Linked DNA regions of Schizosaccharomyces pombe. The gene in region 3 interacts genetically with the main gene of each other region. Each region holds a gene or a part of one and is shown on either strand. Other genes may lie near its edges.

Region 1 (5,702 bases), on a different chromosome or scaffold from region 3:
CGACACAGGATTTTTCAATGCCAGCTCCTCATGGCTCTTAACCCCTTTTTTCACCTTGAGTTTGACAAACTCGGCGTTCAGGCGTGTCTTGTGACGAAGAATGCATTCCTTGATAGGACCATTTGAAATGGATAACCCTCGCTTTGACATCAGTAAATCATGGACAAGGACTCTAGCCAAATTTTCTTTTAACTACAATAACCAGGTTAGCTTCAAAAAATTACGAAACAACTATCGTTTCATTAATTTGTACCTTTTTCTCTAAAACTAATAACTCGGATCGCGCAATTATTTCATCCAAAACAGGTTTATCTATATAAAAGAAGAAAGTTAGTCAAATCGTTTATATTAAAGTTTTACTATTCTTGTTTACATTTGAGAGTTTCGCAAACCAAAGCATAAGTGCGTTTTGGATCATGTTTTTTTGAATTAAATGCTAATTGCTTAATTGATCCTTTTTTTTTACTTAAATCTGAAAGTATGTTGGCAGCATGATTATAAAAATCCATATCGAGGCAAGATCCTCCTCGGTATGAGTAGTGGAAAAGCTGCTGCACAAAACTGAGTACCTTACTCAGGTCACAATGTCTATTGTTACTTGTATGTATAGGTATAAATAAAATATTCAACAATTGCAGCCAAAGTGAATTTGTTAACTAAAGAAATTTCTTATTGATGTTAAATTTTTTATTTTAATTGTGTTTCTCTCACGAATGAGAAAAATATATCAAACATAAGTCGTCTGGGCATAACAAAGTCATTCAATTGTCATAATCCATGAAACATAATAGTAATAATAATAAGCGTTTTAAAATGTGTAGGATAAACGTGAACAACCATTCAATAGGTGGCATGCATCATAAATAAAAGGTAATCTGACCCAAAATTAACAAAGTTATATTTCAGTCAAAAATTCATAAACAACACTAGGCCTTTAATTCAAAGAAACTAGACTACAGCGAATACTGAAAAATGTACGACTGTAATCAGAATATAAATAAACTTGGAAACGATCCGTAAGAGCTATAGTCTTTTGAGAATCATCAAACAACGTAATTTTAACAGAGGAGTCATCGGGAGCAACTATAAAACTTTTAATTCTATCATCTGAACTGAGGTCTACTCTGTTGGATATTCCATATTCAGAGATATAGACATCAATAGAATTTCCAGATATTCTAGTCGCAAATGCTTGAACTGGCATAGATTTCTTATCATGCTTTTTGCAATACTCAGCAATATATACAGACAAAAAGAGTTGCTGGCTATCTTCTTGCACAGTGGTGGATTTCTCCTTCTTTTCATTACAATGTGCAGCCACTAACGAACAATTTTTTTTGTCAATACCCGGGGATGTGTTCTTAAGGCTACGTTCCAATAAACGATGAACAATAATGTCAGGGTATCTTCTAATCGGAGAAGTAAAATGGGTATAATGATTAAATGAAAGAGCGTAATGGTGCCAGTCTGTTTTCTCACCGAAATCGCCAGTACAAAAGTATTCAGCACGATTTAACGAGCGAACTGCCATATTTTCAAATAATTCTACCAATTCTTCATTAAAAGTGCTTCTGAGTCGTACCATAGAGGCATTAAATGCAGCTGAAGACGATGCATCGAAATCGAAGTTCATGCTTTTTAGAAAGTGACAAAACTCATTAATTTGTTTCTCTTTAGGACTTGCATGGCGACGAAGCAAGGAATTATTGGAGAAATTTTTACTGATATGTTCAGCAACAGATCTATTGGCGAGAAGCATAAACTCTTCGATGAGATGATTTGCATCGGTTTGCTCATATACCTCGCATTTATTCGGCATTCCATATTCATCTAATTGGAATTTGAGTTCTGTCGAGTTAATCTCTACAGCGCCCTTAGCAAATCGATCTTTGCGAAGCTTTCTCGAAATTTCGCAAAGTGTTAATATAGACGTTTCAACATCTTTTGGAGTATGCGTACCTCCTATCGGTTTGCCTACAGCATCATCCCAGGACTTTCCTTCGATCACACCTTGAGCCTCACTGTAGGCAAGTCTGGCACATGTCTTTATAACTGTTTTGCCAAACCAACGCTTACCAATTTCCTTACCATTGGAGTCGAGTTTCCAAAAAACGCTAAATGCAAGACGCTCAACGTTGGGATTTAATGAACAAAGTCGTTCACACAACAGAGGAGGAAGCATCGGAATAGCCTTTTGCACAAGGTATACTGTTGTAGCCCGCGAAGCTGCCTCTTTGTCCAATGCTGAATCTGGTTTTACAAAATGAGTAACATCAGCGATGTGGACACCCACTTCATAAGTGCCATTGTCAAGAGCGCGACAGGAAACAGCATCATCCAAGTCACGAGCTGTTTCAGGATCAATGGTAATAATTAACTCATTTCTTAAATCTCTTCGTTTTTTTATTTCCTCATGTGAGATAATCCAATCATCAGGAGGCAAGCAGTTTAAAACCTCATCAGAGAAGGGAGAGCTACTAATTCCATTTTCTAGCAAAAGCGCATTAGTGTAAGCCTCCACGTCAGTAATATTTCCCAGCTTTTCACCTAATACACCCATAGGGTAACGAGAGTAAATACTCCACCTTGTAATCTCAACTGAAAACAACTGATCGTGGTGTTTCAAAATATTTTCAATCCAATTTTCACCACTTAAATCGCTTAAATCATTTTTGTGAATTGTGATAAAGGGCAGACGTTTATCTTTTGGAATGAAAATCGCGTACGAGGATTTTTTGGAAACATATTCTACATTTTTTAATGACCAACCTGGTGCTCTTAAAATCCCTACAATTTTAGAAATTTCCGCTCTCTTCTCAATGGCGACAACACGAGCTCTCGTTCTGCTATCACCTTTGAAGCTTGCAACACTTTTAATTTCTAATCTTTCCAAATGCTCCATTGCTCCACCTAACTCATCGTCATGATCTTTTATTTTGACTTTCTCGACACCATTCTGTAAAAAATTCGATTTTTCAGTGGGGCTGTCATTATTCATCACAGGTTCCACAATTACAACGTCGTTGTGAAAAGCACGATTTCTAGCAATTGGCCCATCAACATAAAAATCAGGTATATCTTCCATACAAGCAAAAGCGCTACGATGATTTTCAAGAATACGAAGCGTTCCTTTAAATAATGTACCACTTTTTAATCCTTTTTTAACCGTTGCAGAGTCGTAGTACAACGGGTATACTGACTTTTTCGCATTGGATGATACCATCTCAGTGGCGTTATTCGTATCTGCTTCAACTTGATGAGAATTGTTTTTTTCTCGTTTCGCGGAATTTTCATCTCGATTATTTCTGGACTCCAAATTCTTGGAAAGTTTCGAGACACTTTCTTTATGCACGTCGGTTTTATGTTCATCCTGCTTAGAACTTTTAGAGATTTTTTCCTTCGAGTTTTTCTTCTTTGCCTTCGGTTTAACCTTGGCTTTCTCGGTCTTCGTTTCAGTCAAGCTGGCTTTCTTATGGTTCGAATCTTGACCTTTTAATTGGGTATCTGTTGGCCTTTGAACAATATCTTTGATCCTTTCCAATAGTCCACTTCCTAATCCAGGAATGTTGGAATCATCATTTTGATGAGGATCGTGAGTAGTAGACGGATATGCTTTATTTTTTGTCTTTCTATCAATAGAGCCTTTTTTTTCTAAAGCAGCTTCTCCCTTTAATAAATTTCGCTTTTCCTTTCTTCTAATATTTGGTTTTAAATCCATACTTTGTGAAAATATGGAGGTGGTAGTAGAGTTAAGGCATGCAATTGTTAAATTCACTGAGCGCAACTAGGAGATATATTAGGGGCAACAAAATAAATGAAATAATTTATACTAAATGCAAAATTCTAAACCATTCATGGAAATCAATAAAATTGATAGTCTTGACGTTCGCTCAAATATCTACACTACTTCATTCTATACTAAGCTACAGTTTCAAAATTGATAAAGGGCGTATAAACTATACATCCAAAAAACATAGCTTTCTATCTTCCTCAACCAAATATCTGCAAGTGTATGGTTTTTAGTATACTTCTTGCTTCCTTTTTTGTTTTTTTGTATCGTACTGAAAGAGCTTAGTAAATCGATCTAAACTTGCAATTGTAATATTAGATTCGTTCAAAAGTTGATACTAATCTATTTATTAAAGGATGGCAATTGAGAAGTCATAAAGACTAACATAATTTTAATTACTTTTGTAATTGCAATTAAAGAAAAAAAAGAAACCATACCCAAAAATAAAAAAAAATTTCATAATCAAATTAAGAGACGGAGTATTTCTTCAGTCAATTAATAAGAAATAAAAAAAAAATAAAATAAAATAAAATTTTTTTTAACAAATGCTAACCTCCTAAAAGCTGTTTAACAAAGTGAAATCCGTGATAGAGTCACCTGTTAAATTCAATAATATTTTTTGATGTAAAAAATCACGTAGCTTTAAAAATTGAAGCCTTTTTCAGGTAATTTGAAATATGTCTTATATTTGTAATTTTTGAATAGATGGAAATGACTGAACGAAGATATTTGACAGTGGAATATATATTTTAAACACACTTTCTGATTGTAAACAAAGAATAATTGATATTTAACAAAACAAAATCCATTTATAAATTGAAAAAGTAATCATAGTAAATTAACGATAATTATTTTTTGCAACATAAGGATTTGGGATTATTTGCTAGTATATACTTTGAAATTACACATGCCATTGCTAGAGAAGTTAGAAGCTACTTGTTTACCTCTTCTAAGTTATCACTAGTACTTGCTTTCATACGAATTCCCCTTTCCGTTTATTTTAAGATCTATCTCTGAGATGAACAGATTGCAAGCAAAAAAAGCTGTAAATGTTTCTCGGCATGAGCAAAAACGGATTCGTTACAAGTTGACGCCAGAAGAAGTTAAAGCAGAAAGGAAAGAGCGGAAGCGACGTGCAGCAATTCAAAGAGCTGAAAAGAAATTAATTAGAGCCAAAGGTGAAGCTCTTGTAGCATTTCAAGCCGTTTCCAACCCAAGTTGTAACTTTTTGGTAATTGATTTTGAGGCATATGAATTCAACCAGAAAATCATAACTGAGGCTGGGATTACGATGAGAATTAATGGAGAATGGGACTACCACCACTACAGGATTAAGAATTTTCTACATCTACGCAACGGTCGATTTGTTCCAGATGAAGCCGATAACTTTCAATTTGGTGACTCCAAGATTGTGACAAAAATTGCGTTTATAAGTATTCTGAAAAAAATTTTGAAAACACCAAATCTACATCTAGTAGGACACGGAGTGGAAAACGAAATAAAGTATGCAAACGTCCTTGGAATACCTATTCCAAAGGATGTCACGGTTCTTGATACGCAGAACGTTTTCTCATTCTTTCAAAGTTTATTCCTCAAAGAAATTTCAAATTCCAACAACATCTCTCTTGCTAAAATGCTCACTCACTTGAACATCCGAGCTTTTTGTCTTCACAATGCCGGCAACGATGCGAGGTATACCTCAGAAGCCCTTCGAGAAATGACTAACAAATTCACGTTGTCTAATTTTTAATTCATTCTTTTTTATACTTGCCTTGATCAAAACTTGATATAACTTTCTTTTTACTTATTGCTTTTGCGCGTTAATTTCTGCTCCCACCTACTACCCACTCAAGGACAGGTTGAAAGATCCAATGTATCTAAAGATTCCTTGCAATAGTATATACCATCAGTT
Region 2 (3,399 bases), 610 kb from region 3:
CTATCATACAATTCTCCTTTGGGTAAATAACTAACCTTGGGATGTGTCGTAACTTGGGACTTATTTTTGATTTGTTATAAGGATGAAATGAATGTTCTATCTTATGGACCTTACAAGAAAAACTATAATATTGTCAAATATAATCATATGAGATGAGTTAAGCTACATAAAACTCTTTGAAACTTTATTTTATATTATTGCAACCTTCTAATAACTTTACATCTTCTTATCCAAAGAAGAAGGGTTAGAATGTACCGTGTTTTACGGAAGTTCCATTCCCGTAGGGTTACAATGTGTTGCTAGAATAAACCGTAAGTCATAGTACATATAGAGGCCAATTCTGTAAACTTTTTTAAAGTCTATGGAAAACCCTCTATGTGTCTCCAATAGAGAACGGACATCTCTTTCTGATTAGTATATACGTTTTCATAGTCTCTTCATCCTGAGGTAAATTGTACAAAACGCTGTAGTTAAACATGTGATCGAGTTAAATAGATATCTTCATAGTTCAATATACCATTAGATTTTTTTAAACAAAATCATAACGAGTACGAGGTCGTTTTGGAGAAATAATATCTGCAAATGCTGAACGTTTTCTTGGTGTGGAAGGATTGGAAGACGAGGATCTTTCATTTAATGCTTCCTTGAACCAAGTCTTGTCATTCAATAAAGACTTTTGATCACGAATAATGGACATTAACGATCCTGGACTAGTGTCGGTTTCTGACTCGAATAAGTGATGATTGATAAGAGGAAACCATACCATCTTGGCAATCGTCTCTGGTGGAGTAAGCCAAAGGGTCCAATTCCATTCTAAGAAAATATCTTTAGCTATTTTTGAGGTACAGAAAATTTTTAAAGATCCCTCGTCATTTGAGCCTCGTAGTTGAATTCTACTTTCAGAAGAAACATTCACCAGCACTTCAGCCAGTACATCGACTAACGTTTCAAACGTTTGAAATGGATCGATAGGACATCTTTCGCTCTGTTTAAAAGTTAATATAACTCTTGGTTGAGAGAAAGGTGTTAATTTGGTTGCATTTATAACTGCTTTTCCCCTGAAAGCATAGTAGCAATGTAGTTGTTAACTAATCTTACCTCTGCCTGATTGACGATTTGATTGCGGCTACATGTACAGGACCAAACACGCACTAGGTCTGTAATATGAATGACTTGTACAGCCTCATTACTTTCTGCGTCGAAGCTAGCCTGTATAAAATGAAACCTGTGGCCACGTAGCTGCACCCAAGACATCAAGTATAAACAAATGCAATGTCTTGTTCAGTATCTCAAATTGATTATAACAGCAATTCAATTGAAAATATTAAAGCTAAATCACTAAAATAGAAGAAATAAGCTCAGCAATGGTCACAGTTGAGAATTCGAGTTTGCAAAGTAGTATTGGTATTGATGAGAAAATTAAACAACCGATATATGCCAGAGTAAACAATAACTATGCCAAGTTATTCTTTAAACTTTAGAATGTGAAAATTAGATCAATTGGAATGCTTTTGTAAAATATTGTCTAGTGGTTTGAAAGTAGCCAGCGAAAGACAACACAAACAAGGACAGAAAGGAACTACCAAGTAATTTGAGAGCTATTTTTTTTTGAAGCTTAATTTGAAAACGAAAAAATTATTAAGTAGATAAGAATGACTCCGTTCGGTTTTTTCTTCTGCTCACAGAATTTCGTGGACTAGGGGACATTTCAGCGGTATGTTCAGAAGAAGTATTGTTTCTAATTTGAGAAGAGATATCCATTCTGGATAACTTCAAGGCCCTCTTGTTCCGAAGATTGACCTACAATCATCATCCGTGTTTACATGTAGCTCTTATATTCTGCACAAGCGTGCTACTGTGTTTATATATATATATTTTTTCTAACTAAAAGTATATATATGTTTGCTATTGCTACTTCATTGTAACGTCAATGGTAAATGAAGAAGTATGTGATATAAAAACGCAAATTAATTATGCCTAACTCATTAACGACTACGAAACGTCTGAAGGTAAGAGGCAGGGAACCACATACAATGAATGTACATACTACTTCCAAAAGGATTTCGCATTGTTTGTTAGAAAGAGATGAAAATCAGAGCTCTTAGTTTTTTTGAAGCAATGTCATTTCTTCTTATAATTTAAACTAAAATCAGAGGTGTTCAACAAAAAGGTCTCGTGGCCCAATGGTTAAGGCGCTTGACTACGGATCAAGAGATTCCAGGTTCGACTCCTGGCGGGATCGACCTTTTTGTTAAATAATTTTTTTGGGTTTTTTTGAATAATTCAATTTGAAAATACACAACCGTTATTATTTATAAATTCGAGTGCAAAAAGGATGTATGAACTTAGAGGACATAGTCAGTATATACTGAGCGGGATTTACATTCCACAAATGAATTTCATCGACTACATTAACTACTCCTGATTTACATTATATATTACTAAATTACTAACTGTGTGTCTACGGCCATACCTAGGCGAAAACACCAGTTCCCGTCCGATCACTGCAGTTAAGCGTCTGAGGGCCTCGTTAGTACTATGGTTGGAGACAACATGGGAATCCGGGGTGCTGTAGGCTCCTTCTTTTTTATTTACTATTTGCTTGGCTTCTGCAGTTAACAATTAGGAAGATGTACATATACATAACAAGTTTGAAAGCACTTATCGAGATGATTTGCAATTACGAATCATGAAAACTACAGCAGAAGTTCACGGCTTCTCAGGCTACAACAAAGTTCTACTTCTCTGAGTGGATCATTTTTAACAAAGTTGATTAATTAATTTTTAAAGAAAAATAGATATTTTTCCTTTCCACGGGGCATTTCAAAGGAAAAAAGAATCTGAAATACACTTTAAGAAAGGAGTTTTTTTCTCCCCATCGTATTCAATTCGGCAATCAATGTAACTTATAAAAGAGACTCAGACTGAATCAAATTCGATGGGTGCAACTTTCAAATTATTCTAAAGGGTTCATGCCCTCTATTTATAGTAAAAAGAGCGAAGAAAAAATTTTTGAACACACGAATTTTACACACAAACTGCACAACGCTTTAAGTGTTTTTCTAATTTAAATTCTGATAAATAACAAATTTGAATGCATAAGCTCAATAGACTATTCCCTCTAGCTGGATCTAAAACTTTGACTTCTGAAACAAATGCACAAGAAACAGTAATATCATTCATTATTGTTATATTGTTATAACAAGGTTTGATTCATTGATTTTGTTAATTATTTTTATACAATGAAATAAACAGAACAAGATATTAACGAACAATTTATTTTACAAGTGTTTTGTTTAGAGAAATTAACAAACAAAAAGAAGAAATGATCACAAATAAAGTATTCGAGGATTGGGAGAATGACTATTTCTTAAAGACAGAACAATTAACCGATGGATC
Region 3 (3,081 bases):
TACCTCTTGTTACCCCTGAAGTTTCAACACGTCAAACGAAAAATGTTGATGAAGAGGATTCAGCTTTATTGATGGCTAGCCCTTCTGTCCGGAAGTCCAATTTACTTCCTCAGGAGGACCTCATTTCAAAGGATTCTGTGATTAAATTAAAAGAAAACCCTTCTGTTATTCCTCATTCCGAGCCTGAATCATCGTCGAAAGTTATCAACTGCCAGGCTAAATTAAATGTGGAAAAAGAAAAGAAAAACCCGTGAAAACTTTATCAGAGTAATATTGACGCTATTCAATACACAACTATTCTAAATTTCACTTCCCATGGGAAATCCTTGAAATGGTGTTTGATCCCCAGTAAATTTGAATACATAGATTTCTCTAATGTTATATGCACCTTTTTAGACGACCAAAACATTCAAATTACTTCATCTTTTTATGATTGAATACTTTATGTGAGAGTACTTATACATATGATATGACAATAACCTTCATTTGTCGCTATTTGGAATAATAACGAAAGTTGTGAATTCAAGGGATTCCGGATATATCGTCTTTGGAATGTAAGTACTTTGCGAAATTGAAAATATCGGCCTCTTGGTTTATGGTAAAAGAATCGTTTTCTTTTTCATTCAATTGACTTGCATCAATGCGATTAGAAGCATCTGTTAGTGAAAGAGGTTTCCTATATCCTAATATATCTTCACTGATGGGTAGTGTTCTTCCTAAATCGAAGGTGTAGGCTTGACTTGCAGGATTTAAAGAAGAATTCATAATATCTTTGTCGGTTGAAAACAAAAAAAGGCTAGCCAATATTGGGTTTTTCTGAGTGAAATTTAATAACTCCTGATACTCATTGGCGAAGGGTAGAAAAGGCTGCAAATGACAAACGCATTTTAAATTACTCTTAAGTTGTTGTTTTATGGCTCTGCATTTTTTGCTGAATTTCAAGTTAATATTTTTTTTCTGATCAATGTGACATACCATAGTAACGGCCTTCCTCTAGTTCGAACTTCTATCAGTGCCCTTTCTTGATGCTGGCAGGATGAGCCTCGATGACCTCGAAGGCATACAACACTAGAGTAAGTGTTAAAAATTTTATCTTATAACCATACAAAAAGTCTTACCAAGCATAATTCTTACCGTCAATAATGATCATGATTGAAGGTATTTGTGATTAAGGGAAAAGAAGACAAGTAGGATTCGAGTAAATAAGCTAGTCGAGGAACGTTTTAAATAAATTCCTCTTATACGTTCTCTTCCTTTAGGTTGATAAATTGTAAATGACAGCTTTTTCCCAAATTCCTTTTTCCTCGTCTCTGCTTTAGCTTTCTGATCCAGAAGAATTGCACAACGGATATTAATAGAAGACAAGACGAACAGCTAAGTGTTTTAAAATAATATACTTTACTTTTAAATATTTCCAATGTTTGTTGTTTGTCAAAAGTTTGAGTGCTGGCATAAATTATTTATAAGCTCTAGCTATGGACATTTGTTTACATATTATGGGATAAACAAATACATCAACTTATTGACACTAACCAACAATAACATACAAAATAGGAAGGTATTAAATCACTATGTTCAATGTTTTTGAGCACAATTTCGTAGAAAAGATAATTTTGATTTAATGAGTGTGCAAACTGATCAAATTGTGATTTTTCCTCGAGGCGATTTCATTCTATGTTTTTATGATTGCGTCAATTCTCTAAGCAGTTTTGCGATTTTCTGCACTCTAAACTTGTTAAATAACTTTTGTTTGCAAAAGGTACCAGATGCTATAAAGACTGGATTTTGTTAATATACTACTTTATATTATAACATATATGATTTTCAGATTACAAAACAGCTTAAAAGTTTGCAACCTAAAGACATAATAACTTTTTTATTGATTGCTCATTTATTTTAATTGATTATTATTTTTCAGGGTTATATCGAGTTACTTTGTTTTAATGTCAGGTTTAAAAAAATAATTAAATGAAAGTAAATGTAAAATGAGGTAGGCTTGTCAGACCCTTCAAATTTTTTTAAAAAAAATTGAAATATTTCTTTCAGAAAGGTATGATTAAACTCACAATTTTTTTCGATTTCAAAAAATCTTTTAATCAATTTGAATATTTGCTACCTACAAATATTGTCACATAATAGAAATGTAGACGAAGTGATTTCATCAAATTAAGGAACGTTCAGTATTTTAAAAAAAGATATGTAAATTCTACAATTTGTGACGATTTGGAGATGCTACTATTTGAAATGTAAATGTATTTACATAAATGTATATTTGCTGCTAGATGCTGATATACTGGGTATAATGAACATAATTACAGCACAGTACTTAGATGCATTTAGCGCACTATGAATAAATCAGTAAATATTGAATACCTGTCAATTTTCTGGAGATAAAACTAACTAGCTAAACTAAAATCATATAATGGAGCTTCTAAAATCAAGTACGTTGCTGAAATCGAACACATCAATACGTGCGGTTCTTTACTCAAATTCACTTGACATTCTATTTCATGTTTTTCAGAATGCGAAAGATGATAATGTCTTTCTGATCAGATTGCTACAAGATGAGACTACTAAAAGTATTGAAATTTAGAAAACCTTATAAAAACAATAACTACCTTGCACACACATTTTCTTAATTTGATGAGAATAAAACTGCTAACCCCAACGGTCGTTATTTATCGTCTGGGTATCCGTAAATCTCTGTATACCTGTTCAAAGATATACAACGTCACATCTGTCAACTACATTCCATTATGTTGTTAAATCCCTTCAAATGTAAGCTACGCAGTTTGGTATCTGATTTAAGGATACGTAGAACTGCGGTGAGTTTTCCTTGTGATCTATTATATTACAATACACAGGTTGTATAAGTAGCAACTGAGTATAGGTATTGTATTAACTGAGTTATAATGTTACCTATCACTAATATAGCTTATAACTGAACTGAGGAACGAGGTTCAGCAGTAGCTCTATTTATATTATTCAGATAATATAGATCTTGATAGATTATCATTAAGATCAATCTCAATATCGTATCATACATGGTACTATATATAATTAGAACATGTGACATATAGT

What was found. A genetic interaction does not mean that the proteins touch.
Region 1: mutations in cuf2 (region 3) and dis32 together harm fitness less than expected from each alone (positive genetic interaction), as found in Schizosaccharomyces pombe (one large-scale study listed by BioGRID).
Region 2: mutations in cuf2 (region 3) and xlf1 together harm fitness more than expected from each alone (negative genetic interaction), as found in Schizosaccharomyces pombe (one large-scale study listed by BioGRID).

The regions. Positions count from the first base shown.
Region 1 is NC_003424.3:4,270,363-4,276,064, forward strand, and holds dis32 (3'-5'-exoribonuclease Dis32), read right to left. Parts: upstream 3,768-5,702; 5' UTR 3,719-3,767; coding exon 935-3,718; 3' UTR 530-934; downstream 1-529. Other genes in the region: rcm1 (rRNA methyltransferase), read right to left, coding at 1-192, 254-312, 374-509; SPOM_SPAC2C4.08 (uncharacterized protein), read left to right, coding at 4,809-5,540; SPOM_SPAC2C4.09 (uncharacterized protein), read left to right, coding at 5,662-5,702. UniProt on the Schizosaccharomyces pombe protein: 3'-5'-exoribonuclease that specifically recognizes RNAs polyuridylated at their 3' end and mediates their degradation.
Region 2 is NC_003421.2:923,683-927,081, forward strand, and holds xlf1 (XRCC4-like factor xlf1), read right to left. Parts: upstream 1,410-3,399; 5' UTR 1,255-1,409; coding exon 1,099-1,254; intron 986-1,098; coding exon 530-985; downstream 1-529.
Region 3 is NC_003421.2:1,530,195-1,533,275, reverse strand, and holds cuf2 (Cu metalloregulatory transcription factor Cuf2), read right to left. Parts: upstream 1,151-3,081; coding exon 1,119-1,150; exon of another isoform or gene 1,069-1,118; coding exon 976-1,068; exon of another isoform or gene 932-975; coding exon 523-931; downstream 1-522. Other genes in the region: SPOM_SPCC584.03C (GTPase regulator), read left to right, coding at 1-254.